Linked DNA regions of Oryctolagus cuniculus. The protein of the gene in region 6 interacts with the protein of the main gene of each other region in a pairwise test. Links are inferred from orthologs where the notes say so. Each region holds a gene or a part of one and is shown on either strand. Other genes may lie near its edges. The genes, in order: PLAC9, BEX3, NMI, ZC2HC1C, BEX5, EMILIN1 and IFT20.

Region 1 (3,987 bases), on a different chromosome or scaffold from region 6:
GTGCCAACACACCGGGTTCTAGTCCCGGTTGGGGCGCCGGGTTCTGTCCCGGTTGCTCCTCTTCCAGTTCAGCTCTCTGCTGTGGCCTGAGAAGGCAGTGGAGGATGGCCCAAGTGCTTGGGCCCTGCACCCCATGGGAGACCAGGAGAAGCACCTGGCTCCTGCCTTCGGATCAGCACGGCCATTGGGGGGTGAACCAACGGGGAAAAAAAAAAAGGAAGATCTTTTGTTAGAGTCTGAAAAAGCCCACCACGCGAGGAACGACTCCAAGAGACCTTTCTCTCATGCAACCAGCAAAGGGTTAAAGATTTATTGATTATCCAGCATGCTGGGGCTGTCCGATCATACATGAGCAGAGCAGCCCCGAATAACCAAAGGTTAGGGTTTATAAAGGCAAAAACCGCAAAACCAGGAAGGGGGGAAATACATGGTTGCTATGCATGGTTGCTATACACAGTTGCTAAAATCAAAAGAGAGTATATAAAATCAAAAGAGAGTATATGGTTACTGGGGTCAACATAACCTAAAACCTAAGTGAAATTAATATTCATCATAATCTTGACAATACCAGTTACAAGATTACAATTAGCAATTAGGACTTGACATTAATGTAAGACACAGACAAATCACATCTTTATTATTAGCCCAGGTAACCCAGGTGCCACTTGAGCAATCATGCTAGGGGGTTTTTGTGCTCTGCCAAGGGTGATGTAGTGCACTGCTATTGTCCGACTATTTGAGATCATAGTTTCAGACCAGAGTCTCACGGTGGGGGGGTGCTTTCTCAGAATGGAGTCTCAAGTGCTCCAAAATGGAGTCCCTACTGTCAAGGTGCTACTTCACTCTGTCTTATTTTTACAGCTGTACCAGGAATGTTATAACCTGTAAGCTTAACTTTTTACACCCGCACATATACAATTTTAACTTTTCACTTTCTCTCTGTCTCTCTCTCTCACTGTCCACTCTGCCTGTCAAAAAAATAAAAATAAAGAAAGAAAAATATTACAGATCTGTGTCTGTTTTTTGGACTGATAGTGACTTTCTAGGGTGCATCCCTTATTAATGAGTTCGATAAAATCTTTAGCTCCTGCTCATTTTATATCTGTGTGAGTCCTGATTTAACGTTTTTTTGGAAAAGCATCTTTTCACATCACTGTCCCTTCTTTCCCGGAAGAAGGACTTCCTACAGAAGACCCAACAGCAAGCCTGCGATCCCACAGACGCTGTCTGAGGCCATCGGAGCCCTTTCTTGTTCCTCGTGGAGAAAAGCTTCTTCGCACCTGGGGGGGGGGGGGGAGGGCTTTGGCGCCTGTGCCACAGCTGTGGGTGACAGCGGGACTCAGTCTACCCCTCTGTGCAAGGAGCTCACAGCGACTGCCTGAACCCCGGAGCTGCCGCCCAGCCTCCCCTTGCGCCCTGCACCCCGCGCCCGGGGCCCCGGCAGTGCAGCCGCTGCCTGGGAACGCTCCCAGTCCAGCATGACTGCCCCTCCGCCCGCGGGGGGTCTCTGGGCTCCGCGCTGCTCCCGGGGTGCGGAGGGACTCGGGAGGGGGCGGGTTCACTCGAGCCAGAAAGCCCGGAGCCGCCCAGGAATTTTGGCTCGGGCTGGGAGCATTTCCTCCCGGGCTGGCCCGGCGCGATCCCGCGGAGGGCTGTCGCTGGCAGACGCGCGCAGCGCTCGGTCCCGCCGGCATCATGCGGCCCCTGCTGTGCGCGCTGGCCGGGCTCGCCCTGCTCCGCGCCGCGGGCGCTCTGGCCGGTGAGTAGGGGCCGCGGGCCCGCGTTGCGGGCAGGGGACTGGGAGCCCGGGAGGCCCGCCGAGGGCAAGGTGGGGATGAGCGAGTGAGAGAGATGCCAGGCAGGGAGGGAGGGAAGGAGGGAGTGACAGAACCGGCGGGGAACAGAGGCACAGAGAGAGACAGGGGAGAGGGGAAATAAGGGATTAGAAAGAGGTTTTGGAGAAACACAGATACCAGTTAGGGCAGAAAGCAAAAGGAGTTGAGAGCAACAGAGCAAGAAACAAGGATTGAAATGGAGAGAGACGGAGACCGATGTTTTCAGAAAAACCTATTGAGAAAGTTGAGAAAAGCTGGGGGGGGGGGGGTGCCAAACTGCTGGTGAAAGGAGACAGGAAGGGGTAAAAGGTCAAGTTTGTAGGGTGGGGCAGCCCTGAGGCCAGCTGGGAGCAGGCCTGGCTTTCCAGGGCGATGCACTGGAAGCTGAGCTCCAAGGCCAGTGACCCAGGCAGGGCCCCACACGGCCATCCGGCCATCCTGGAGCCAGGCAGACGGCCCCTGCCGTGTGGGGACAGAGTCAGATTCCAGGTTTGTTTCTTTAAAGGATGTATTTATTTATTTGAAAAAAGAAGGAGATCTTCCATCCACTGGTTCACTACCCAGTTGCCTGCAACAGGCAGAGCTGGGCCAGGCCGATGAGGAGCCAGGAACTCCATCGGGGTCTCCCATGTGGGTGGCAGGGACCCAAACACTTGGACTGCTTTCCCAGGCTAGCAGGGAGCTTGTTTGGAAGTGGAGCAGCCAGGATTCAACCCGGCGTCCTGATATGGGGTGCTGGCGTCACAGACAGCACCTTAATCCATAACGCAGCCCCAGGATCCAGCTTGCCGGAGAGCTTTCCTGAAGGCTGAGCTGCTTTGAGTGGAGAAACAGGGGGCGAGCACCCCCCACCCCCGTGTGCACACGCCCCTGGCTGAGTTCCAAGCTTTGCATTGTGTGCTTTATTCCCCTTCTCATGCCAGTGGTCTTCAGGCTGCCCCTGCACAGGTGAGGCACAGACAGGATGACAGTGACAGAGAGGTCACCCCAGAACTGCACATTCCACAGCACTGTGCAGGGTGCAAGCCAGAGAGTGCTCGTGGTTCATCCGAGTGCCCAGGGGAGGGAAGGCTCAGAGCCCTCACCAAGCACCCAGCCCTCCTGTCCCCTCGCTGGACCCTGTGCTGGGACAGAAGCCTCCCGGGTCCCTGTTGGGGCCACATGACCTGTGTAGGCAGGCACTCCAGGAAAGGCCCCGGGCCTAGGCAGGGCTCATCGAGGAGGAGTGACACACACCTGCTGCTGACCCCGGGATGTGCCCGGCCAAGAGCAGGCATCCACACACAGGACGCTGGCTCTCTTGGACAACCCCAGGGCTCTCTCTGAGCCTCCGTTTCTGCACCTGTTCAGGAGAATCAGCCGTTTCATCACAAGGCTGCCAACGAGTGCCTGCCCAGGCCCTCGGTACAAATCCTCCTTGGCCCAGCTCCTCTCTGCCCGGCCTCACACTCCCAGAGCTGAGGGCACCCAGCAGAGCCTGTGACTGGCTGATTTTCTGTGGCCCCTGTAGCCACAATTGGTATATACACTTTAATGTGAATTTCCTTTAAAATATTAAGTTTTTTCTTCTGATTATGTATGTTTAGAAGCTACAGATTAAGAAAAAATAAAGAGGAAAGTATAAATACATGCATGAATATAAGTTCACTTTTTAAAGATTTATTTATTAGAAAGGCAGAGCAACATAGAGAGAGGGGAGGAGAGAGAGAGAGAGAAAGAGAGAATTTTCCATCAGCTGGTTCACTCCCTAGGCCTGCAAGAATCCGGACTGCGCTGGGTTGAAGCTATAAACTTGGAATTCCATCCAGGTCTCCCACATAGGTAGCAGGAATAAAGTGCTTGAACCTTCATCCGTTGCTTCCCAAGAGCATCAGCAGGGAGCTGGACCAGAAGTGGAGTAACCAGTACTCAAACTGGCACTTCCATACAGGAGGCAGTGGCTTAACCACTGGACCACACCGCTCACTCCTCTATTCACACATTTCGTGTATAACCTTCAGGTTGAAGATAATATCCATTTTTTTTTCTTAACTTTTGTTTATAAAATTTTCTAAAAGATTTTATTTATTTATTTATTTATTGAAAGGTAGAGTTATAGACAGTGAGAGGGAGAGGGAGAGACAGAGAGAAAGGTCTTCCTTCCGTTGGTTCA
Region 2 (3,328 bases), on a different chromosome or scaffold from region 6:
ATGGAATAGGAGAACCCACATATTTTTGCTTTCTGTACTTGTGAAAATGGGTGAGAACTCCTTCCAGTCCTCCCAAAGTATGCGAAAGGAGCCTATTAAATGCTGGGAGTTAAAGAGGAGCCAGCCCAACAGTTTCATCCCTCATCTGGTCCACTTAGCAGCCCTGTAAGATAAGCATTGTTCCTCATTTCACAGGACTCTAAAGTAATGTAACTATAATGAAGGGAGGAATTATTCAGTTAAGACTGGAAAATATCAAGGTTTACTCTTCTTTAGGTCTGTTGAGCCAGTAATTGTTATGTACCTGCATTTTATTCAGATACTCGTTGAAAAATCATTTCCATTGCTTCTCAAACTCCAGATAAAAAGAGGAAAAGTCACACAATATCTCGCCACACAGAAATGCATCCCAGTGAACACTTTGCTGTGTTTCATTTCATACTTTTGGCTCCTGTTTTATGAGTCTATACTCTTCAATGAGACAATAATAAATATCTAGATTGCTTTTCAATTGCTTTATTAACTTTACATTTTTCCATGCAAATGGATGAAACTCTACTCTGACAGAAACTTAGTCTGGGTGCAGATGCAATTTTCAATTAGAAGCTGGCAACACAAGACCCACTTGACACATGGAAATAACATAAGGTTCACAGCAAATGGATCCATAAAGGCATGTTGGGAAAATGCAAGGAAAAGGAAATCAATGGGAATCACAGTATTAATCTCACGGAAAAGGGCAGAAGTCAAGGCATAAGGCAAAATTCATCATGATGGTCATGGTGATTGGAGAGCTCCCCCATAAGGATACGCAAACAATTCCTCAGCTGCAACTCCCTAAGTTTTCTCCTGATTTCTCTCATCTCCTCCATGAACATTTCCATATCATCCCCATCTCCACCCATCCCATCATTGCCCTGCCTATTGGGTATGGCCCATCGAAAATTAGGGGCAAGTCGGCGAGCCTGTCCCCGTCTGTTATTTCCTGCAGGCTGGTGGCCTTCACCTCCTCCCAAAGGGCGGTCTTCTCCATTCGGCATGGGCTGCTCCATTGGTTCGTTTTCCTGGTGGATATTTGCCATGGTGAATTGAATTTTTTTTTTCTGGCTGTGTTTCTTTGGACACAAGTAAAGGGTGAGGAGAGACTGAATGCGTGGTGCACTGACCAGCAGGATTCAGAGCCCTGACACCACAGGTTTAATTTTTCCCACCTTCGACGCTTCGTGCGCCCTCTAGGGGGCCTCCAATGCGAGCCCCTCCCTCTAGCTCTCTCTCCTCCTCCTCCCCTCATCCCCCATCCCCTCCAAAGCCCACCATTTTTCTTTTCCCAGGATTCTTTCCCAGAGCTCTGCAGGCACCAAAATGGAGGACAGGGACAGGGAGGGGGAGGGGGCACGGGTCGCTGGAGGGGTCTGGGGTCCCAGATAGGGTTTCCGCACGCTCCTCCCCGCCGCCCCCACCCCGGTCTGTCCCACCGACCTGGGCCTATCCTTGCGGTCTCCTCCTCCTCCCGATTCTCGCCGCCGGCGCGCCGCCGCGACACTCAGCGCCTCAGACCTGCAGACCTGCAGACGGCGGGGTCGGGGAGAGGGGGCGGCTGCAGGCGAGCGCTCGGCACCGCTACGCCCCCCCTCCCCGCCCCCTGCCGGCCCCTTCCCGCCGCCCTGGCCCCCGCGCCTCCGTCCAGGCCCTCAGCGGCCGCGTCCCTCCGCAGAGCCGCCCCGCCCCCTCCGGTGTTCACCGTTTTCCCGCAGCGTCCCGGGGCGGGGGGACTTCCTCTGGCTCCTGCCTGCTCTGCTGCTCTCCCCTCCAGCACCCCAGCCGCCCCTGCACCCCTACTCCTGGGGGCCACTGTATAAACAGAAAGCGGCGGGGCCCGCTGCGCTGTTCTCCTCGCCCGCCGCTGCCGCCCTGGCCGCCGGGGCCCTCACCTGCTCCGCTCTGCCCGGGCCCGATGCCAGCCCGCCGAGCGCAGGGCAGCGGGGAGCTGGTAGCCAGACGCGAGTGACGACTGCACCCGAGGCTGCGTCCCTCTGCAGCTCGGGGTCACGTGACGGCCGCGCGTCACCGCCGCGCTCGCCCCCGACTCCAGCGGCCAGTGTTGCTGAGCCCCCCGCCCCCAGCAGCCACAAGCACACGCATCCTTTACCCACCCCCCGCCCCCGAAACACTCACACCGCCTATCTTTGTGCGGTGGTGCCCCGATGTACACCGCCCTGTCACTCATCTCCATACTCTCCAATCTGAGGGCCTACAAGTGGCATCATCGCCTTATGGTTGGAATTTGCTCGCTGCTGGTTTCTAAGGAAGTTCTGTATTATCTTCCATCACCCGCATTCCCACCTCACTGCATTCTTGGTTTTGACCTTTTCTGCTTTCTCTCCTTTCTCCTTGGCTTTGAACTTTCCCCTGTGCCCTCTCTCCCCATCTTGCCCTTTCAGTCACCAATGCCCACCTAGCCGCTAAGTCTTACCCTGCTAGGAAGTTTAGAATAAGGACTGAGTTGAAGAGGCAGAAGGGGACTCGTCAGAAAGGGAGATGAGGAAGGGGAATGGGCTGTGTATACTTTTCTATTTCCTTTTTTTTTTAAGTAGCATGCCTCAGAAAATTAGAAATAACCAGTTTTCATTTTTGAAAGAAATGCTTCATCCTGCAGAATGAAAAAGCCTCATTGTTTATGTAGACCTGTACCACACAGAAAATATTTTCTCTGGGCTCCACACAACATTAACATCACTTTGGAAACATACTGTACTGCTGGCCTGTTGCAAAATTTTGTTTGGAAAAAGGAGGGACCCTTCCTGAATACAGCTGGTGTTTGCAATGTAATCTGTAAAGTAAATCTTCAGAGAGAAGTCTGGTTGTCAGACTTAGGGCATTTTATAAAACTTTGTGTGATGGTTTTGATACCCCCAGGCATCAGAGTAAAGGAGCCTTTTTATTCCCTGCCTTCCTTTCCAAACTTTCCAAACCACCCTGACAAATATTTTCTTAGAAGGAGCTCAGAAGTTAAGTCTCTAATAGTCAGAAATTAGACTCAAAGCCATCTACTTTTTGATGTCTTTCAAAAATATTAGAAATAAACCGGGGTTGTGTGTGCAGTGACTAAAGACTGAAACTCATCCCAAGTACAAACGTTCTGTTCTTCAACTTGAAATCCTTTTTTAAACAGTTATCACAGCTAGAGAGATAACATAAAGAAAGGGGCATTGTTATGAAAAAGTATTTAGTAGTTGTTGATTGTGATAAAAAAAAAAGGAAATCATCATATACTGCCCTAAGACAAGACAGACCAGACAAATGCTTTACTGCCTCTGGTTTGGGCCCC
Region 3 (3,500 bases), on a different chromosome or scaffold from region 6:
AAGATAGGCACGAACCAACACTAATAAGTCTCCCCCACAATAAGGCAATGAGAAGGCTTGGATTCGGTTTGCCTGATAGGTCTTGTAAGTCCCCTGCAGGCAGAGCAGAGCATGCGCTGCAGGGCACCGAACACAGGCACGCATCAGCGCCTAAAAACCTCCTCACAATGGCAAAGAGAGGACCCGGATTCGGTTTTCCTGATTGATAGGACTTGTAAGAGCCTGTGGCAACTCTAGCAAGTAGAGCAGAGTGTGTGCCGCGGGACACCGAAGACAGGCGCGTATCAACGCCAAAAATAAAAAGAAAGGGGGATCTGTGGGGAGCAAACCGGACTAGACTGTTACTGGAATTAAGACTTATTCTATGCATCTGCTCTCCCACAATATGGCGCTGGGAGAGAAGTAAACAGCTTCCGCACAGCTGCCTCCAGTTCAACCAATTAACTGTAGGACTTGCTCCTGATTGGAGAGCAGCGTACTCGGCGTGTGGGCAGCCGAGTTGGGATTGGCGGAGGAGGACTATAAAGGAGGAGAGAGACGGCATGCACCGGGAACATCTATGGGGAACATCTAGCTGAAGGAACACCTGTGCAGCCCCCGAGTAGAGCCGGCTGGCGGTGTGCCGCTCCCCTGCGGAAGGTGGGGAATGTGGCCAGGGGGAACTGCCCTTCCACGGAGGTGGAAGGGATAGTAGCCAACCCGGGAAGAACCAGCAGCAAACCCGGGGAGGGCCGAGCAGACGAAAGAACAGCGCAGGGTCCTGTGTTGCTCCTCCACGAAGAGGGGGAGCGACACAATGAGTAGACATATGAGAGAAATGAACATATGTCTCCACCTTAAAAATAAAGGTCATGCCATCATGTTGAATTTTCCGCTCAAAAAACTGTATGACTAGGGCTGGCACTGTGGTGTAGAAAGTTAAGCCTCTGCCTGTAGTGCCGGCATCCCTTATGGGCACCAATTTGAGTCCTAACTGCTCCACTTCTGATACAGCTCTCTGCTAACATCCTGGGAAAGCGACAGTGGACAGCCAAGTGCTTGGGGTCCTGCAACCACATGGGAGAAACAGAAGAAACCCCTGGCTCCTAGTTTCGGGCTGGCCCAGCCAGAGCCATTGTAGCCATTTGGGGAATGAACCAGCAGATGGGAGGTTTCTCCACGCCCCCCCCCCCCGCCCTTATTTCTGTGTCTCTACCATTCAAATAAATAAATAAATCTTTTTTTTTTTTTTTTTTTGACAGGCAGAGTTAGACAGTGAGAGAGAGACACAGGTAGAGTTGTAGACAGTGAGAGAGAGACAGAGAGAAAGGTCTTCCTTCCGTTGGTTCACTCCCCTAATGGCCGCCACAGCCGGCACTGCGCCGATCCGAAGCCAGGAGCCAGGAGCTTCTTCTGGGTCTCCCATGCGGGTGCAGGGACCCAAGCACTTGGGCCATTTTCCGCTGCCCTCCCGGGCCACAGCAGAGAGCTGGACTGGAAGAGGAGTAACCGGAACTAGTACCTGCGCCCTAACCGGGACAAGAACCCGGGTGCCAGCGCTGCAGGCGGAGGATTAGCCAAGTGAGCTATGGCGCCGGCCAAATAAATCTTTAAAAAAAAAAAAAAAACTGTATAATGAAGATGGGCTTTTGGTAGAGCAGTTAAGTTGCCTCTTGGGATGCTCCATCCCATTATCAGAGTGCCTGGTTCCAGTGCTGGCCCATCTGTGTCTGGTCCATCCTCCTCCTAATGCACACCCTGGGAGACAGCAGACAAGGCTGAAGTACTTGGGTTCCTGCCATCCAAACAAGGGACCTGGATAGAGTTTCCAGCTCCTGGTTTCGATCTGGCCCGGCTCTGGCTATTGAGGGCATTTGGGGGAGTGAATCAGTGTATGGAATATCTCTTTGTCTTTCAAGTAAAATGAAAATAAATAAATATATTTTAAAATAAAAATCAGTACAATAAATAAGACACAGATTTATATTAAAAGTCTTTAAGAAGACAAATTCATTCTGTATCAAGCAAAAATGAAGTCACTATTTTGATGTTCCCAGCTGATAACATTCAAATAGTAACAGATACAAATTTTTCTTTATTTTTTGTGGGGTGGGCTTGGGCAGTGAGTTCTCCAACTGAAAGAAAAGAAGTGACTTTACCTGATACTTTTTCAAATGTGTTTCCATGTATGGAGAAACCATCACTCTATGGCACTTCAGATTTGTGTAAAGAGGATAATCTTTCCTTTCCAAAATCCTGTCAGCAACTAAAAGTAAATAAAAAGAAATGGTTCTCTTTAGTATCACAAACATTTAATCAAATTAAAACTTCCTACAAGAGATCAGCATTGTGGCACAGCAAGTTAAGCCTCCACCTGCAATGCAAGGCATCCAATATGGGCACTGGTTCAAGTCCCAGCTGCTCCACTTCTGATCCAGCTCCCTGCTAATGTGCTTGGGAAAGCAGTGGAAGATGGCCCAAGTGCTTGGGCCCCTGAACCCACATAGGAGACCCAGATAAAACTCGTGGCTCCTGGCTTCAGCCTTGCCCAGTCCTGGCCATTGCAGATATTTGGAGCATCAAATGGAAGAATGGAAGGTAGCTAGCGCTCGCTCTCGCTCTCTCTCTCTCTCTCTCTCTCTCCCTCTCTCTCTGTAACTCTATGAACAAAAAAAAAAAAAAAAAAAAAAAAAAAAAGTCCTGCAAACAGAACAATACTGCAGTGAACACTACAACATGATTGTTCACTTTTGTAAAGATTTATTTATTTAGTTAGCTAGTTAGTTAGTTAGTTATTTGAAAGGCAGAGTTACAGAGACACAGAGAGACCCAGAGAGAAAAAGGGATCTCCATCTGCTGCTTCACTCCCTAGATGGCCATAATGGCTGGGACTGGTCCAGGACAAAGCCAGGAGCTCGGAACGCCATCCAGAGCTCCCACATAGGTGGTAACAGCCTAAGCACGAGGGCACTATCAGGGAGCTGGATCAGAAGCAGAGCAGCCGGGACTCAAATCAGTGTTCCACAATAGGGTGCCAGAATCACAGGTGGCAGCTTAACTCTCTACACTACAACACAGGCCCCTCAGTGATTAATTTCTAAAGAATTATACACTCCATTTTGAAGACTCAAGCACATAGTTTTTAAAAATAAAAAAAAATAGTTTTAAATGCTTCTTTTTCTCTTAAACTATCCACTGCAACCAACAATATTCAGAGGGCAGTAACATCCTTAACAAGACCTACTCTGAGCTGCGTAAAACATAAAAATCAGCTGCAGAAATTCATCCAATCATTCTAACAAGACTAGAATGTTTCCTAGTTTCTCAAGAAGTATAAATGAAAACGATGATTAGAGTATCATATACAAGGAGTCTTTAAAAGTTCACAGAAAATGCATATACGGAAAAACCATGTATGGTTTTCAAAAATTTTTTGAACCAAAAGAAACTTTCAGTTCCATTTTCCATTGCATACATGTGTGTTATAAATTGTAAATATATTTAAATATAATAATATACTC
Region 4 (4,177 bases), on a different chromosome or scaffold from region 6:
AGTAGGGAGATGCACAAGTTGAAGTTATGAAGACAGAAGTGGGAACAATGACCGAGTCAGCTCCTGGAGGGTACTGAAAGGCACCAATTCAAGAAAGAGAGAGACCCTTCTTCCTGCGGAACAAAAGGAAGGAAGTCAGGAGAGAGGGAGGCGCCCTGGGAAAGTCAGCCAGGCTGGAGAGAAACTGTGGGAGTTGATTAAGGCGAGGTCAGAGGCTGACCTAACTGCGAAATGTCTGGAGCTGCGGAACTTTAACAAGTTTGTGGAAAAACGGAATTAAAAAAGATTGTTTGTTTTGGTCCAAAATATACATGCATAGTTTTTTCATAATACACCTTTCCTAGAACTTTTTGAAGGCCTCTGGTATGCACAGATCTCAGTTATTTTTTGCAGTGGAATAAACTTCTCTTTTAAATCTATTTCCCATAAACTTTTGGAAGTCCCCTTGTATACTAAGGCAGTCTAGTCCACTAGGAATGAAAACAAGGAATAAAAGACTGCCCTGGAGGGGCCCACCAAAGAGTTTCTTTGTGCCGTGTACAAGCTGTAATAGGATCTGTGGAAGCGTTAACGCTGACTACTGCTGTCTACATTATTTTCCATGTGCATGAATCCTTTGAGTAGTTACAGGGAAAAAAACGAGCTGCCTGTTCCAAACAGCTTACACAAATGAACTGAAGCACGAAGAAGACAAATAAACTGTCTTCTGATGTCAACAAGTCACAGACCATCATTCAGTGTTGAAACTAGGTTATACTGATTATTTTCAATCTGTTATGCTAACTTTATTATCATCACATTTGGCTGAGTCATTCCCAGGTCCTAAGCAGAGATGGTCCGGGTCACCACGTGACAGCAAAACATCACAATATCAAAATAATTAGGTTGGCCACGAAATCTACCCCGGAAAGATACTGCGTAGCAAAAAAAAAAAAAAAAAAAAAAAAAAGGCAAGCTCCAGTTTGGCAAGGCAAAGCACGGAAAGATAGCAGCCATACCTGGGGCCCGTACAGAGCTGCCGAGCGTGCTAACAAGGGCTATCAGCAGGCCCACTCCCGCTAACCGGGCGGACGCCGGGATCTTGCGGTGGGATGACTCCGGGGCACATGGCGGGGCTCCACCCTTTGCCAGGGACGGGCACACCCCGGGGCCTGGGAGCATGCTTCTCAGAAAAATACAAGTTCTCCTTTGATGGCGCCCCAGAAAAGCCTCTCCCACCTCCTCCCCCGTTCCCCAAGGGCAGGGCTGAACTGAGCTGCAGAGTTGGCTGGACACTGGGTCAAGTGACAACAACTCGGGCTGACCGCACCCCGCCTCCCACTCTCAACACCCTCCCCCCGCCATCCGCCCGCCCAGGAAGACGCGCGGACTGCGCCTGCGCGTGCCTCTGCGGCGGCGATCTGCGAGAGGCGGGGCTCGGCGCGCGAGGCGCTTTCGTCTCCAGGCAACGGGAATCGCCGAGGCCCGCGGAGAGCGCCTGCGCTGACGTCGGTTGGGGGCGGCCGGGTCTGGAAAGCCAGGTCCTGGGGTTTCCCCTGAGCCGCCGCGGTGCCCCCAGAGCCGGAGGTACGCAGAAGGGCGGGGAGACGTGGGGTGAACACCTCGACCTCCCGAGGGCCCGAGGAGCAGGAGAGCGAGGGCTTGTCCCCAGAAACCCCCGCCTTAGTGGGGGCGCCCGGGTTGACTGGCACCGGACGGAACTTCCGGGTTCCAGATCTGAAAGGGGCTCAGGTAGCCCCTTTCTTCGCAGGTTAGCGGCCTCCGGCGTCTGCGCCACGGTGACTCTTTGAACGGGGTTGGCTTGGTTTTGTCACCTGTAAGATGGTGGGCCTGGAGTGAACCCTTCAGTTCACAGGTGGAGAGACTGTGTTCCCCAAGCCTAACACCTCTCCCTCCATCCAGCGCTGGCTTCGCCTGCTGGCGGGCGAGTAGAGTGCAGATGGCGGGGGCTGGTACCGGGTCACTGTGTCTTTCCACCCTCGGGACCTAACAGAGCGGGTGGTCACCACTCACTGCGAATGCGCATTGGAGAGCTCTGGCACACCCAGCGCCATGTCCCTAGCGAAGCTGGAGGGAAATGTGAGTAGGGCAGATGTAGCAACAGTTTACTTTAGCAGCCGGGGGTGAGCCTCAGACAAACTCAGCACATGGATCTGGTTTGACTCTCCCCGTAGGCTTCCATCCAGGCCCTGAATGGCTGACCTCCAGTTGGCTCCATATCTGCCTGTGGGCGTTATGTTCCCACATAATAAAACAGAGGCTGCGGGGCTCCACTCCGCCCGGCGAGACCCTTATGAACAAGGTGACACCGCGCAGCCGTCCTCTGTGGGGCATCGGAGGAACAATGTCCGGGAGAGGCTTTTGAGCAGCAGAGAGCTGACGCGGGAGAACGTCTACACCCCGCCCAACCAGAACACGCGCTCCAAAGCCGGGGGCAGCTCCCCTAGCTGTGCTGATGCTGAGTCAGGCAGCGGGCCCCAGGGCCAAGGACAAGGTTGGTTCGCTGCATCGGGCCCTCCGTCCTGGCATCCCAAAGCAAATAACCCATACTTAGGTCCCTTCACAAAGAAGGGAGTTGGGGTGGATCGGGCGTACCCGCTGAAACCCATGGTCCACCGGAAGTCTCGCAGTACAGGGCAGGCTGGCCCCGCTGGGAACCAGAGTGTCTACGTGAGCGCCTCTGAGCCGAGAGAGCTTCCACACAGCAACTTCACGCCAAGGAGCACGGTGAACCCCTCTGTGGTTGGTGCCGTCCTTGCCGCCATGCAGGGCGAGAGGGCCGTGGCAAACCTCACCAGGTCTGAGTGGGTGCAGATCCAGAGACTGGAAGCCCTGGGGGAGAGCTTAGAGGAGGAAATCCGGAGAAAGGAGATCGTCCTGCGGAACAAGCTGAAGAGGACGGAGGAGGAGCTCAGGAGGATCCAGAGGGGCAAGGAGGAGGCCGAGGGGAACGCACACAGAGCGCTCCGGAGAATGGCTCTCTCCCGGGGGAGAGCGGACGGTGGTGCCAGCCACCCCGCGTGCAAGCCCGTCTTCCCCCCAGGATTTAGGTCCAAGGAGGCGCCCAGGAGTGACAGAAGAGAGGATGGAACTTGGAGGCGGTCTCGAGAAAATGCTGGTCTATGCCAGTTCTCTGATCATGGAGTCCAGGAGCTGGAAAGGGAGAGGCTGGCGGCAAACAGTAACAAAATCAAAGATGGGGTCTCGGGGCCATCCACGGAGAAGGTCTCTCAGTCTTCGGAAGCGCCGGACGGTGCTTTCCAGGGGCTCGGTACGGATTCCGGCCTGTGCAGGGCACCGGGCTCTTCGGGTTCCAGCTGTTCTGAAGAGCCGGAACTGGGCCAGTGCAGCCACTGTGGACGCACGTTTCTCCTGCTGAGGCTGGAGCGACACTCCAACGTCTGCAGCAGGGTGCAGGGCTCCAGGAGGAAGGTGTTTGACTCCTCCAGGGCCCGGGCCAAGGGCACAGAACTGGAGCAGTACTTGAACTGGAAGGGGCCAGCCTCGGTCAAGGTAACAAGGGCCGTGTGGATTTGACTTTGTGTGGAGAATGTTGTAAGGGCCTCTGGTGTCCTCACCAGCTTTCTTTAGGGAACATGGGTTATGTAAAAAAAAAAAAAAAAAAAAAGATGAAAAAGAACATTGGTTTTTATAAAGATTTGATTTCTTATTTACTTGAAGGTCAGAGTTACACAGAGAGGAGGAGAGGCAGAGAGAGAGAGAGAGGTCTTCCATCCGCTGGTTCACTCCCCAGTTGGCTGCAACGGCCGGAGCTGTGCCAATCCGAAGCTCGGAGCCAGGAGCTTCTTCCCGGTTTCCCACATGGGTGCAGGTGCCCAAGGACTTGGGCCATCTTCTACTGCTTTCCCAGGCCATAGCAGAGAGTTGGATCGGAAGTGGAGCAGCCGGGACTTGAACCAGCGCCCATATGGGATGCCAGCACTGCAGGTGGTGGCTTTACCTGCTACGCCACGGTGCCAGGCCCATGAACATTTTTTTTTTAAAGATTTATTTATTTATTCAAAAGAGTTACACAGAGAGAGAGAGAGGTCTTCCATCTGATGGTTCACTCCCCAATTGGCCCCAATGGCCGGAGCTGTGCTGATCCAAAGCCAGGAGCCAGGAGCTTCTTCCAGGTCTGCCACATGGTTGCAGGGGCCCAAGCACTTGTGCCGTC
Region 5 (4,114 bases), on a different chromosome or scaffold from region 6:
TTATGTTTTCTCCAACACATATAAAATGTATGTATTTGTTTTTTTAAAGTCAGAAAAAATAGATAATCAAGAAAAAAAGTAAAAAGTATCAATAACTATGCTACTTAGAGAAAAACACATCTTGGTTTATACAATATACTATATAGTATATTATTTTCAAAAATATATTTATTCATCTGAAAGGCAGAGAGACAGAGAGAGATTTTGTATCCCTTAGTTCACTTAACTCCCCAAATACCTGCAATAGCCAGGGATGGGCCAGGCCAAAGCCATGAATCAGAAACTCAACTCAGGTCTCCCACGTGGGTGTCAAGGACACAACTACTTCAACCGTGCTTGCTTCCTCCTACTGTGCACATTAGCAGGAGACTGGAATTGGAAAGTGGTGGGGACTTGAACCAGGATGTCCCAAGTGAAGTCTCATCTGCTAGACCAAAAACCCACTCCTGTATTATATATAGTGTAGATGTGTGTTTTTAAATGAGATAAAATGTCCATAATTGCTTTTTAAATGCTTTATTAACTTTATGATGTGAGATAAACATCTTTCCATGCAAGTTGATGACACACCCCTGCTGACAGAAACAGTTACAGACCAGGTCAAAGGAAATCTCCAATCAGCAAGTGGCAAGAGAACACCAAAAGATTCACTGTTAAGCTTACATCAAGAAAATGCTAGTTTGGAAAGCAGGGGGTTTGTTATCGTTAACCTCAGGATTCAGGGCATGAGGCAAAACTCATCATGATGATCATGGTGAGGGGGGTCCCCTATAAGGATGCGCAGACTATACCTCAACTGAAGCTCCCTAATTTTCCTCCTTAGCTCTCTCATCTCCTCCATGAACCGTTCCATGTCATCTGCTTCTCCATCTATCAAATCCATGTTATTGGCAAGCCTATCCGGCATATCTTCTCCAAAATCCTGGACAGGTGGAACCCAACCCCCTCTGATATTGCCTCCAGGCTGCTGGCCTTCCCCGCCTTCTAAAGGACGGGCTTCCTCCTCATTCTTCACTGCGGCCTGCTCTCCGACCTTGTTTTGCTTGGGAACGTTTTCCATGTTAAGGATTTTTTTCCTGTTTCTTCTTCCTAGGACATAAACAGCAAGGAGAGGGATTGAACAGTCAGCAATAATATTCAGAACTCCGTCCGCCAAAGGTTTTCCCACCTGAGAGACTTCTTGATCCTTCTAGGGGGCGCCCCAGTCCTGGCCCTGCTTCAAAGCCCACCATTTTCCCTGAAAATCCTTCCCCAGGCCACTCCCACCAAAATGTAGGACAGGGTGGTAGGCGGGGCAGCAGTTGAGAGACCATACCTCAGCTCTCAGGGATCCGGGTAAGCTCTCCAGGTACACCCCAGAACTCACTCCTTTGTTCTCTTAGCCCATCAGCAGCCACTGGCTTGCTGTTTTGCTCAGACTCCACTAGGTTACTCCTGCACTTGACTCAAGCAGGAAGACTGCGTCCCCCAGGTTTTATTTTGATCCGTACACCCGAGAGTCCCAGGCAAGTCCCTACCTGCAGTGACCACAGGCAGTTTTTCTGTCTTGAAATCTGCTGCGCCAATGGATCTGAAGCCCTGCAGATAGATATGCGATAATGGTCAGGACTGATCACTTGATCAAAGGACTGGTATTGGGAGCATCTGTTCCATTGTTGAATTGGGACTTTCCTAATCAAATATGACCAACTTCTGTTTCTCCTCCATCCTATCTTGGGGTTTCTTTTCCCAACGTGTAACAGGCTACTTCGCCGTCCAGAAATAGTGCAATCAAAAATAATTATTTACAAACAATTTTAACCTCTTTTTGAGGCTTCCTATTTTTCACTGTCTCATCCCATCAAATTGGCAATTTTTTTTTTTTTTAATTTTAGTGAAAGCAGATGGACAACTTGTGTGGCGGAGGAGTCAGAAGAGCTTTCTGGGTGGAGTCGTGGTTTATTTACAAAGGATTTCAACCTGGATATTCGTTAGGCCTCTATGGGACCCACTGCCCTCTCTCCAGAGCACTCTGCTCCCTTGCCCACCATTTTATGCATCAAGATGGACGATGGGAGAAGAGGTCTTGTGGATATAAACCAGGATCCGCTGCAATCAGAGCGCGTTACCATTCTGATCCCAGAGTCTACAAGCAGTGTCCACGTTTACACTGATCACTGATCCGCAGGGACCAGAAACAGTTTCTAGCGGCTGCCCGTAACCCTCAGTCTGCTCCGCGGCTTCTCAGATCTAATCTCCCAGCTCTGAAGCAACTACCCTCCCCGCCCCCTGCAGTCCATCATTTCTGACTCCCAAAGAATAAAAGATACCGACAATACAGGCCTGCAACCGTGACAGGGTCCGCCCTCCTCATCCCCAGGTCTCCAGTTGCGGCCTCCCACTCACCCGCGGCCCTGAAGGAATTCTGCCGCTTTCTTGCTACCTCCTCCCGTCTGCCTCTAACAGACTTTGTCCAGTCGCCCGCCTCCTAAAAGACGCCAACGCGTACGCATTCTCGATCGCGGGATCGCGGGATCGCGGGTCCCTCTTCACTTCCCAAGCCCTTCATTTCTAGCACCAAATGGGTGGGCGTTGGGGATGGGACAGCGGAACCAGCGGAACCACCCCTGCCCCCCCGACTGCACTCACCAACCTGCCAAGGATCGGTGTCAGCTTTCACCACTTTCCTCCTTCCCCGGGCAACTGGCTCGCTGGCTTTCAGGGCAACAATGAGAAGCCGCACTGCCACAAACGACTGCTAGTCCGCAACTAGGAGGAGAGAAAAATTCAGCTCCGCTCTAGACCTCGCAAGGGCCACGTCACTGTGAGCTCAGAGTCCCAATTACCATTCACACCTGCAGTGCGGCAGAAGGGTGGGGGTGTGGGTGTGGGCGGAGCTCCCTTTCTCCTCATTCCCGCCTTCACCAGGGCTACCTTAAGCTACTACCCGCCCCTCTATTTTCATTTCCTATTTAGCAATAAGACCAAAGGAGTCTTATTATTTTGTTGTTTGTGTTTGCCTTGCCGTGATTTCTGCTGGAGCTTTTAGGGACTTGTTTCTTCATATTCTATATACGCAAATGCCCACTCCTCTCCTTTTCACTGCCCAGAAAGTAACATCCCAGAATTTACCCTAACAGCCTTGCTGGTGGAGTCTCAGATTGGCCCAGCTTGGTGAGGGTGTGGTGGGGTGGGAAGCATGTGGGAGGAGGGAGAGTGAGGCTAGGAAGTGTGGAAAATAGATAAGACAGGACAGTTTAAAATGTTTACCTTAGGCGCTGGTGCTCTGGCATAGCAGGCTAAGCCTCCACCTGCTGTGTGGGCACCCCCTAAGGACACCGGTTCCGATCCAGCTCTCTGCTATGGCCTGAGAAAGCAGTAGAAGATGGCCCAAGTCCCTGGGTCCCTGCACCCACATGGGAGACCCGGAAGAAACTCCTGGCTCCTGGCTTTGGCCTGACCCAGCTCCAGCCATTTGGGGAGTGAACCAACAGATGGAAGATCTTTCTCTCTGTCTCTCCCTCTTTCTGTGACTTTACCTCTCAAACAAACAAATAAAATCTTTTTAAAAAGGTTTACTTTAATTAGTTTCCTTTTTGGAGAGCGATGTTTGTTTTAGATTGCCCATCTGCATCTACTCATAGTTTAGTTATTATCATTAGACAACATTACTGTTTTGAGTTGAAAAAAAAAAGAGATTTGACTTGCAAAACCTGGCAACTTTTTCTGCTGCTGAATCATTTTATACATAACCGTGCACTCCTGCCCTCTTTAAGGACTTTGAAATATAAACCTAAGGTTCCCCCAATTAAGAATCTGTCTGTGGATCTTTCCATAAGATGGTGCACCATGAGCTTTACTGGGAGATTTTCAAATCTTGAGAGCCTGTAACAAACTGAATATCTCTTCTAAATTGGGTGTCACTTCACTTTACAAAAATGTTTGGCTTCATCTGTAAAGTACACCCAGTGAAGTCTTTCAATAGAACAATAATTTGGGGAACTTTCACTAACAGATTAAAGCCATTGTAAAACTACAATGGTAAAATAGTATTGTACCAAAATAAACGTAGAGAAATGAACCAGAAAATTGTCAAACCCACATACAGAGAAATGCTGATAAGCTAATTGAAATA
Region 6 (3,941 bases):
GACATGGCTTCCTCACTGTGGATGAGAATGACCCTCTCTGTCTCCCGTCAAGCGGAACAAGGTGGGGTTGGCCGAGAGGCCCGTTGGCCATGCTGCGCTGGAGCTGTGACTGGGCATCACGTCCCTCCAGCACCGCGGGGACAGACAGAGGGCCCGCGGCCAGCCAGCTGGGGCTCTGGCTGCCTAGTCAGACAGTCAGCCAGAAGTTCCTGTTTCCATAATTATGGCGTGGCTATCTCGCTGGCAGGAAAGCACGGCGCATCCGGAGTGCCCCGCACACGGGGAGGAGAAGCCGTGGGAACTGCTGCATTCTGGGATCTGCAGTCTCCGGAGGCCACGGGGCGGCCTGGGCCCCAGAGTCAGGTGCAGTGCATGCTAGGACTTGTAGTCTCAGCTGTTCCCCACAGACCCAGCTCCTCAGAGGACGGTCCCCTTCCTCCACAGCTGTTCCCAACTAGGGAGGATCCTGGCCACACGTGGGCGTGCGAGAGCACTCCCCTCTCTCTGCCTTCTTTTTCTCTTGCTTTCTAGCTGTCCGCGTGCACACGCGCGCGCGCACACACACACAGCAAGGCGTGCATGGGGAGTTTCAGGGATCTCAGGAACTCCCTTCTCTCTGACTTGGAGCGCGGCTTCCCGTCGGCAGCCTGGCCCGCGCTGTCTGCTCAGGACGGCTCCCCCACCCACCCCCAGCAGCTCCCTTGCTCACCTTCTCCCCCAAGTCCGCTCAGGTGGCTGCCTGCACTGGAGCCAGAGAGGTTGGGGCGGCCAGGCCGGGGCCGAGGCTGCGGCGTGGAGGGTGCAGGGCCCTCGGCACAGTCATCGCCCCCATAGCCCTGACAGCACCTCCACTCCATCTCCGTCACTGTCTTGTAGGCCACACGGTAGCGAGGCCGGAGGAAGCTGCGGTACCTGGCAGAAGCAGAGGCGGCCTCCTCAGTGCTGCCTGTCCCGGCAGGGACCCCGGCCCCTGTCCTCGGAGCCGCTGCTGGGTCAGGCCTGCCCTCAGGCTGGGTCCTTGTAGCTGTCCCGCATGTGGCCTTGCTCAGTTGACAGCTGTCAGCTTTCTGGCCAAGGGCCAAGTCCCTGCTCTTCCTCCCCTTGCCCTGTGCTAGGACCTCGATCTCCCCCCCCCCCTTGTAGATGACCTGTCCCAGGCCACCGAAAGCTTCTGGGTGCTTGCAGGAGAGGTCAGTTTGCCCTCTGTGCCCCACCAGCCAAACTGTCGCCTCGGCGCCTCCTCTGGCTGGAGCCCAGGCCTGCCCCTTGCTATCTGCTTTGTACAAACTCCCTGAGTCAGCACCCGCCTAATGCAGCTTCCACTGAGGGCCCACCCCAAGCTCTCGGGACTCACATGACGCTTCGGGGGCACTGGGGCTGACCCCAGCCACAGGGCTGGTAGTCCGGCTTGACAAAAGTCTCCACGCCATCCTCAAGGACACAGCTCACCGTCCGCGTCACCACGTAAGCACACCAGTTCCTGCAGGCACAACCATACCTGGACCCAAGCACCAGAACACAGGTCCCGGAGGAGGCCCAGGGACGACCAGAGGGGCTGGGTCAAAAGGTCCTGAGTGGCCAGTGAGAGCCAGGGTCCCGGCAGGGGCAGGCCCCACGCCTTCCTGTGTTGCAGGAGCAGATAAAGACTTTTCAAGATGGGGAGAGGCACAGACTGGAAAAGCGCACCCCGGAGAGGTCCACTCTCGGGGCTGTGGGGTCCTGGGAGCTTCCACATCGCGCAAGTGTTGGCATCCCTTTCTGGCCCCGGCTCACTCCCAGCGTGGTAGGCTGAGTGCCAGCACTGGCCCGGCCCTGTCGGTGATCTCCTGGATGCTGGCTTCCACCCACCCCGCAGGGGAGAGGACGGGCAGGCAGGGGTCCTGCTCAGCTCAGGGTTAAGCAGAGAATAAGCCATTGATGAGCCCTGCCCCCCCGGGGGGCTGGAGTGGGGTCAGGAGGACCCAGTGCGATGGGGACAAAGGATCAGCCCGAGGATCCAGGCTGGTGTACAGCTGGCAGCCGGCAGGAAAGCCTGGCCCATGCCCCTCACACTCCCTCCGTGCCCAACTGCAGGTCCCCCCTCGGGAGGACGTGGGCGCCAATGCCCCTTAGGCGTCCACTGTTCAGGGGACCCTGGAAAAGGCCCGGCAGGAAGGCAGACCTGTGAGGGGCCACCTGGGCCTCCCCTGCCCTCCTTCCCAGGGACACCGCGTCCCGCCCGCCTCCGGCCTGGGCCCCAGAGCTTACCTGTGGCGGCTGGCAGGCCGGGGTGCGCTGGGGGCCTGGGGCCCCCCAGGGCTGAGGGCACCACCGCCCGCTGTGTAGAGGCTGTAACCTCGGGGAGGGTAGCTGGCGGCGCCCGCGGCCGCGGTCAGCAGGCAGCAGAGGCAGCAGCTCCAGAGGGTGCTGGGGGCCATGGCGGGGGCGCTCTGCGGGGCCTCAGAGGCACATCCCGGCCTGGCCGCCGGCGCACTCCGCGGGACAGCCAACTCGGTCCCGCTGCCCGGCTTCCTGCAGGCAGCCCCCAGCCGCACGCCGCCGCCTCCCGGGCTGCCTGGGCTGACCCCTCTCCCCTCCTCTCCCCTCCTCAGACTCCTTCCGCTCTCCCCTTCTCCACTCCTGAGGGGAGTCTGTTCTCAGCGCCCCGGCCCCCTCGGATGCTGCCCCTGTGCCCCCGCCCCCCGGCCACAGCTGGCCCTTCTCTCCTGATGGCCGGATCCTGGGGGTGACAGGGCTTTGCCCTTGTGGCCGGTCAGAGGCGCAAGAGCGGCTGTGGGGCGGCCGCCTCCTCTCTCCCCAGTCCCTCCCCTCCCTCCCCCTGTCTGGCTCCCGGTCCAGCCTCCCCCCACCTCTCCAACCATCGGGCGCCACATCTGCTTCTTGTTAACTCCGGGAAAGAGAGAGAGAGAAAAAAAAAAGGAAAAACAGAAATGTGGAGTTGCCGCCGGGCCTGGGGCCAGCCTCTCAGACAGGGCACACGGAGCCAGGGCCACAGCTGGGAGGAGGCGTAGACAGGGAGCAGGGGCCAGAGCCACAGCTCTCAGGGGCCAGGGCCTCCCCTGGGAGAGAGGACTTGAGGGAGGGAGGGAGCCTGGCCGGTGGGGGCGGTGAAAGAGAAAAGAGACTTGCAGGGCTCAGCCAGACACCACTCACCATGCAGTCCAGCTGCTTCTTAGTGCGCCCTGAGGCTCAGAGTGGGAAAGCCACTTGTCCAAGGTAACACAGCAAGTCAATGGTCGCGGTGAGATTAGACTCCAAGCACCTCGGTCAGTGACTGGGGAGAAAGAAGGAGAGCGGAGAGGGTTCCTGGGCCAGGGAGAAGAAAAAGGCAGGCAGGACAGGCAGTGAAGCCGGCAGAGGGAGAAAGGGACCTGGAGACAGAGCTGTCTCTGTCAAGCAATGGAGGGGCCAGGTAGGAGGAGGAAGAATGTCTTTCTTAAAGGGCCACACGAATAAGGGGCCCAGGCTGGTCTCGGTGAAGGACAGACCCTACCCCGGGTGTAAAGATTGGGACCTGTGTGTGCAGCGCCACAGGAACTCACTCCCCGACTGGAGGCAAACCTGAGCGCCTCTGTGAGAAGGCAGAAACTTGGCCACTGTGCCACAGGCACTCGCAGCATGGTGTCCCAGCCCGGGCTCTCCTGTCGTGGGCGTGCTCTGGGAGAGAGACGCCAGGGCACTAGACAGCAAGGAGACAGGAGAATGCTCTGTGCCCGGCCCAGGGGATGGCAGCAGGTGGCAAAGACCTCCCACCCCGCCCCCGCCCATGAAGGAGCAACTGAGGCTGTGTGAAGCAGGTCACCGCCCTGAGACCCAACCACCACAGGGCAGGGGCAGGGTGGGCCGAGGGCCGACGGGGTCTGGCTAAGAGGAGGGAAGGCAGCTGGCACAGCCTGAACAGTGGGGGAGAACTGAAGAACGGAGACGAGGGGAGGGGAAGG
Region 7 (2,877 bases), on a different chromosome or scaffold from region 6:
TACCAGAGCAGATGGAAGCTCTCTCTCCATTTATCTCTTGGCTTTTGAATAAAAACAAATACAAGGTTTCAGTGGATTCGCGAGGCCAGGGTCGTGCAGGCAGCCGTGGCTGGCCCGCTGCATTGGACTGCATTGCTCCTTACAATTTTTGATGCTTAGGTATCAGATTGCTGTTCCTTCTGGAATTCAGAAGTTCTGGCCCCAGTGAGACCTGTTCTTTCCCGACCATTGCTCCTCCCATGGCACACCTTGGGGTGCTCACTCCCAGAATCACCCCACTCAGGAGGGAGCTAAGGCAGGTGGGAGGGGAAACGGGAGGCTGAGGGAGAGAGGGCTGGGGCTGGCGCAGGGCCAGTTGTGGGTAGCCTCTGGATGACCCGGGTTTTGGAATTAGCTAGATGTGATCAGCATTGCCTCCCCTTTGCAACTGTAAATGTTGTTTTGGTTTTGTGTTTTGAAAGCCAGAGTGAAGGTGAGTTTGCAGTTTCCTTCCCAGAATCGAGGCATCTTGGGCCAGGAATGCAGGGGGGCTGGGGAAGGGAGAGTGCATCTTGTTGATTCTCTGTTGCCTATAAAATAATCCAAACTCTGGCTTGGCCCAGGGAGCTTCCTGGCCTGCTTCTAGCCCCCCTTGCAGCTCCCTCCACTTTCCGCCCCTCCAGGCAGCGTAGGCCTCTTTCGGTGAGTCTGTGCTGCTTTCTTCGCTCGGAGCACCTCGCCGTGGCCTCCTCCCTTGGTATGTTCTATGCTGACACTTCGTTCACTCCTTTTTGTGTTTCCTGCTAGAAAGAGATTAGTCCGACTTTGGTTCCCAATTCAGGCAAGTATATGGTATCCTTTAGCATACATTTTGGTCAGATTTGTCTCCTGGGTTCTTAACTTTTTGACCCTAATATGTTTTTGGAAGAGATTTACTTATTTGAAATTTATCTTTTATTCACTGGTTCACTCCCCCAAAGGCCATAATGCCTAGGGCTGGTCCAAGCCAAAGCCAGGAGCCCAGAGCTCCATCCAGGTCTCCCACTTGGGTGGCAGGTGCCCAAGCACTTGGGCCATCTGCTGCTGCCTTCCTAGGCTCATTAGCAGGGAGCTGAATTGGAAGTGAAGCAGCCAGGACCTGAACCAGTATTCTGATATGGGATGTGGCATTGCGGGCAACAGCTTAGTTCACTCTGCCACAATGCCCACCTCAACCTTAACCTACAGTTGAATTCAGAGGCAGAGAGAGAGGTCTTCCATCCACTGGTTCACTCTCTAATTGACTGCAACAGCCAGAGCTGCGCCCATCTGGAGCCAGGAACCTCTTTCTGGGTCTCCCATGTGGGTGCAGGGGTCCAAAGACTTGGGCCATCTTCCACTGCTTTCCCAGGCTATAGCAGAGAGCTGGATCGGAAGTGGAGCAGCCGGGTCTTGAACTGATGCCCCTGTGGGATGCTTTATCTCTGGGTACACAGCTGAGGACATGTCAACATGGCCATGGCTCCTAATAGCAGAGCCGCTCTTGACCGCCCTGGCCTCCTGCAGCTCTTCGGTGGTGTTTGTAAAGCACTTAACCCAGTATGATTGTTCAGTTTCCGTGTGTGTCTTTCTCCAGCTAGACCGTGTGTCCTCCAGGGCAGGCGCCATGTTGCATTCAGCTCTGTACCCCCAGCATCTAGCAGTGTGGGCACGTGGTAGGCACTCAAGAAATGTGTTGAGTGAACGATGCCTGTGACAAGCACCTGGACTTTATTCTTTCCTGACCCTTGCTCCTGTGACACACCTCCTCCTGACTGTCACTGTCACCCCTTCAAAGCAGAACTTCTCTAGGGACTCTGGAAGGGAAACAGGTGAGGCTCAATGGGTGGCTGAGGGAAAGGTGAGCCTTTGGAATATTGGGGTTTACGGCACTGGTATTTGGGGGCAAGGGGGGGCTGGAACGTTGACTGGGGACTGGGACTGGTTTCTTTGCAGCTATGGCCAAGGACATCCTGGGGGAAGCAGGGCTGCACTTTGATGAGCTGAACAAGCTGCGAGTGTTGGACCCAGAGGTCACCCAGCAGACCATAGAGCTCAAGGAAGAGTGCAAGGACTTTGTGGACAGTGAGTAGCACTGGAGGGCACAGTGCCATCCCAGCCCAGCTGCGGCCTGGCCCTGCTGGGGGTTAGGTCTGGCCTCTGAATTCCCATGTACCACACTTTGTCTTCCTGCTATTTTGCAGTCATTAGTCCCGAGTGTCCCTCAAAGCAAATGGGGATGAGTGGAGGGCTTTTTTTCTTCTCTTAAATGATTTTATTATATATCTGAAAGTTGAGAAACTGGTTTAATCCCCAAATGGCCAGGCCAAAAAAAGCCAGGAGCTTGGAACTCCATCCAGGTTTCCTCTGTGGGTACAGGGGCCCACACAGCAGTTCTGCTGCTTCCCCTGGGTATTAGCAGGGAGCTGGATATGACTTGCAGCAGCCAGGGCTTGAACTGGTGCCCACAAGGGATCCTGGTATTGCAGGTGGCTACTTAATCTGCTGTGCCACAGTGTTGGCCCCCTTATTTATTTGAAAGGCATTGCGGCCAGTGCTATGGTATAGTGGGTAAAGCCACTGCCTGCAGTGCCAGCATCCTGTATGGGCGGCAGTTCGAGTCCTGGCTGCTGCACTTCCAATCCAGCTCCCTGCCCCTACACCCACATGGGAGACCTGGAAGAAGTTCCTGGCTCCTGCCTTTGGATTGGCACAGCTCTAGCCATTGTGGCCAACTGAGGAATAAACCAGTGGATGGAAGAACTCTCTCTCTCTCTCTGCCTCTCCTTCTCTCTCTGTGTAACTCTTTCAAATAAACAAATGTTTAAAAAAAAAAAAAAAAAAGGCATAGTTACAGAGTTCATTTTCTGGTTTACTCCC

What was found.
Region 1: the proteins of EMILIN1 (region 6) and PLAC9 interact in binary tests that used the Homo sapiens proteins (3 or more experiments, as listed by UniProt). The two-hybrid records come from large-scale screens. The link is inferred for Oryctolagus cuniculus from reciprocal best matches to the Homo sapiens genes EMILIN1 and PLAC9.
Region 2: the proteins of EMILIN1 (region 6) and BEX3 interact in binary tests that used the Homo sapiens proteins (3 or more experiments, as listed by UniProt). The two-hybrid records come from large-scale screens. The link is inferred for Oryctolagus cuniculus from reciprocal best matches to the Homo sapiens genes EMILIN1 and BEX3.
Region 3: the proteins of EMILIN1 (region 6) and NMI interact in binary tests that used the Homo sapiens proteins (3 or more experiments, as listed by UniProt). The two-hybrid records come from large-scale screens. The link is inferred for Oryctolagus cuniculus from reciprocal best matches to the Homo sapiens genes EMILIN1 and NMI.
Region 4: the proteins of EMILIN1 (region 6) and ZC2HC1C interact in binary tests that used the Homo sapiens proteins (3 or more experiments, as listed by UniProt). The two-hybrid records come from large-scale screens. The link is inferred for Oryctolagus cuniculus from reciprocal best matches to the Homo sapiens genes EMILIN1 and ZC2HC1C.
Region 5: the proteins of EMILIN1 (region 6) and BEX5 interact in binary tests that used the Homo sapiens proteins (3 or more experiments, as listed by UniProt). The two-hybrid records come from large-scale screens. The link is inferred for Oryctolagus cuniculus from reciprocal best matches to the Homo sapiens genes EMILIN1 and BEX5.
Region 7: the proteins of EMILIN1 (region 6) and IFT20 interact in binary tests that used the Homo sapiens proteins (3 or more experiments, as listed by UniProt). The two-hybrid records come from large-scale screens. The link is inferred for Oryctolagus cuniculus from reciprocal best matches to the Homo sapiens genes EMILIN1 and IFT20.

What each region holds. Positions count from the first base shown.
Region 1 is NC_091446.1:70,295,155-70,299,141, reverse strand, and holds the start of PLAC9 (placenta-specific protein 9), read left to right. Parts: upstream 1-1,187; 5' UTR 1,188-1,695; coding exon 1,696-1,759; intron 1,760-3,987.
Region 2 is NC_091453.1:90,036,098-90,039,425, reverse strand, and holds BEX3 (protein BEX3), read right to left. Parts: upstream 1,987-3,328; 5' UTR 1,932-1,986; intron 1,930-1,931; exon of another isoform or gene 1,742-1,929; intron 1,566-1,741; 5' UTR 1,480-1,565; intron 1,116-1,479; 5' UTR 1,083-1,115; coding exon 747-1,082; 3' UTR 501-746; downstream 1-500. UniProt on the Homo sapiens protein: May be a signaling adapter molecule involved in NGFR/p75NTR-mediated apoptosis induced by NGF. Plays a role in zinc-triggered neuronal death.
Region 3 is NC_091434.1:90,607,337-90,610,836, reverse strand, and holds part of NMI (N-myc-interactor), read right to left. Parts: intron 2,246-3,500; coding exon 2,139-2,245; intron 1-2,138. UniProt on the Homo sapiens protein: Acts as a signaling pathway regulator involved in innate immune system response.
Region 4 is NC_091451.1:21,123,644-21,127,820, forward strand, and holds the start of ZC2HC1C (zinc finger C2HC domain-containing protein 1C), read left to right. Parts: upstream 1-1,377; 5' UTR 1,378-1,566; intron 1,567-1,941; exon of another isoform or gene 1,942-2,079; intron 2,080-2,174; 5' UTR 2,175-2,193; coding exon 2,194-3,513; intron 3,514-4,177. Other genes in the region: ACYP1 (acylphosphatase-1), read right to left, coding at 999-1,161.
Region 5 is NC_091453.1:90,755,362-90,759,475, reverse strand, and holds BEX5 (protein BEX5), read right to left. Parts: upstream 2,772-4,114; 5' UTR 2,633-2,771; exon of another isoform or gene 2,629-2,632; intron 2,513-2,628; exon of another isoform or gene 2,386-2,512; intron 1,579-2,385; 5' UTR 1,518-1,578; intron 1,090-1,517; 5' UTR 1,061-1,089; coding exon 719-1,060; 3' UTR 501-718; downstream 1-500.
Region 6 is NC_091433.1:175,879,194-175,883,134, forward strand, and holds the start of EMILIN1 (EMILIN-1), read right to left. Parts: upstream 2,801-3,941; 5' UTR 2,418-2,800; coding exon 2,248-2,417; intron 1,499-2,247; coding exon 1,355-1,498; intron 913-1,354; coding exon 710-912; intron 1-709. UniProt on the Homo sapiens protein: Involved in elastic and collagen fibers formation. It is required for EFEMP2 deposition into the extracellular matrix, and collagen network assembly and cross-linking via protein-lysine 6-oxidase/LOX activity.
Region 7 is NC_091448.1:43,881,858-43,884,734, reverse strand, and holds part of IFT20 (intraflagellar transport protein 20 homolog), read left to right. Parts: intron 1-662; exon of another isoform or gene 663-736; intron 737-1,594; exon of another isoform or gene 1,595-1,798; 5' UTR 1,799-1,829; intron 1,830-1,953; 5' UTR 1,954-1,955; coding exon 1,956-2,082; intron 2,083-2,877. UniProt on the Homo sapiens protein: Part of intraflagellar transport (IFT) particles involved in ciliary process assembly. May play a role in the trafficking of ciliary membrane proteins from the Golgi complex to the cilium.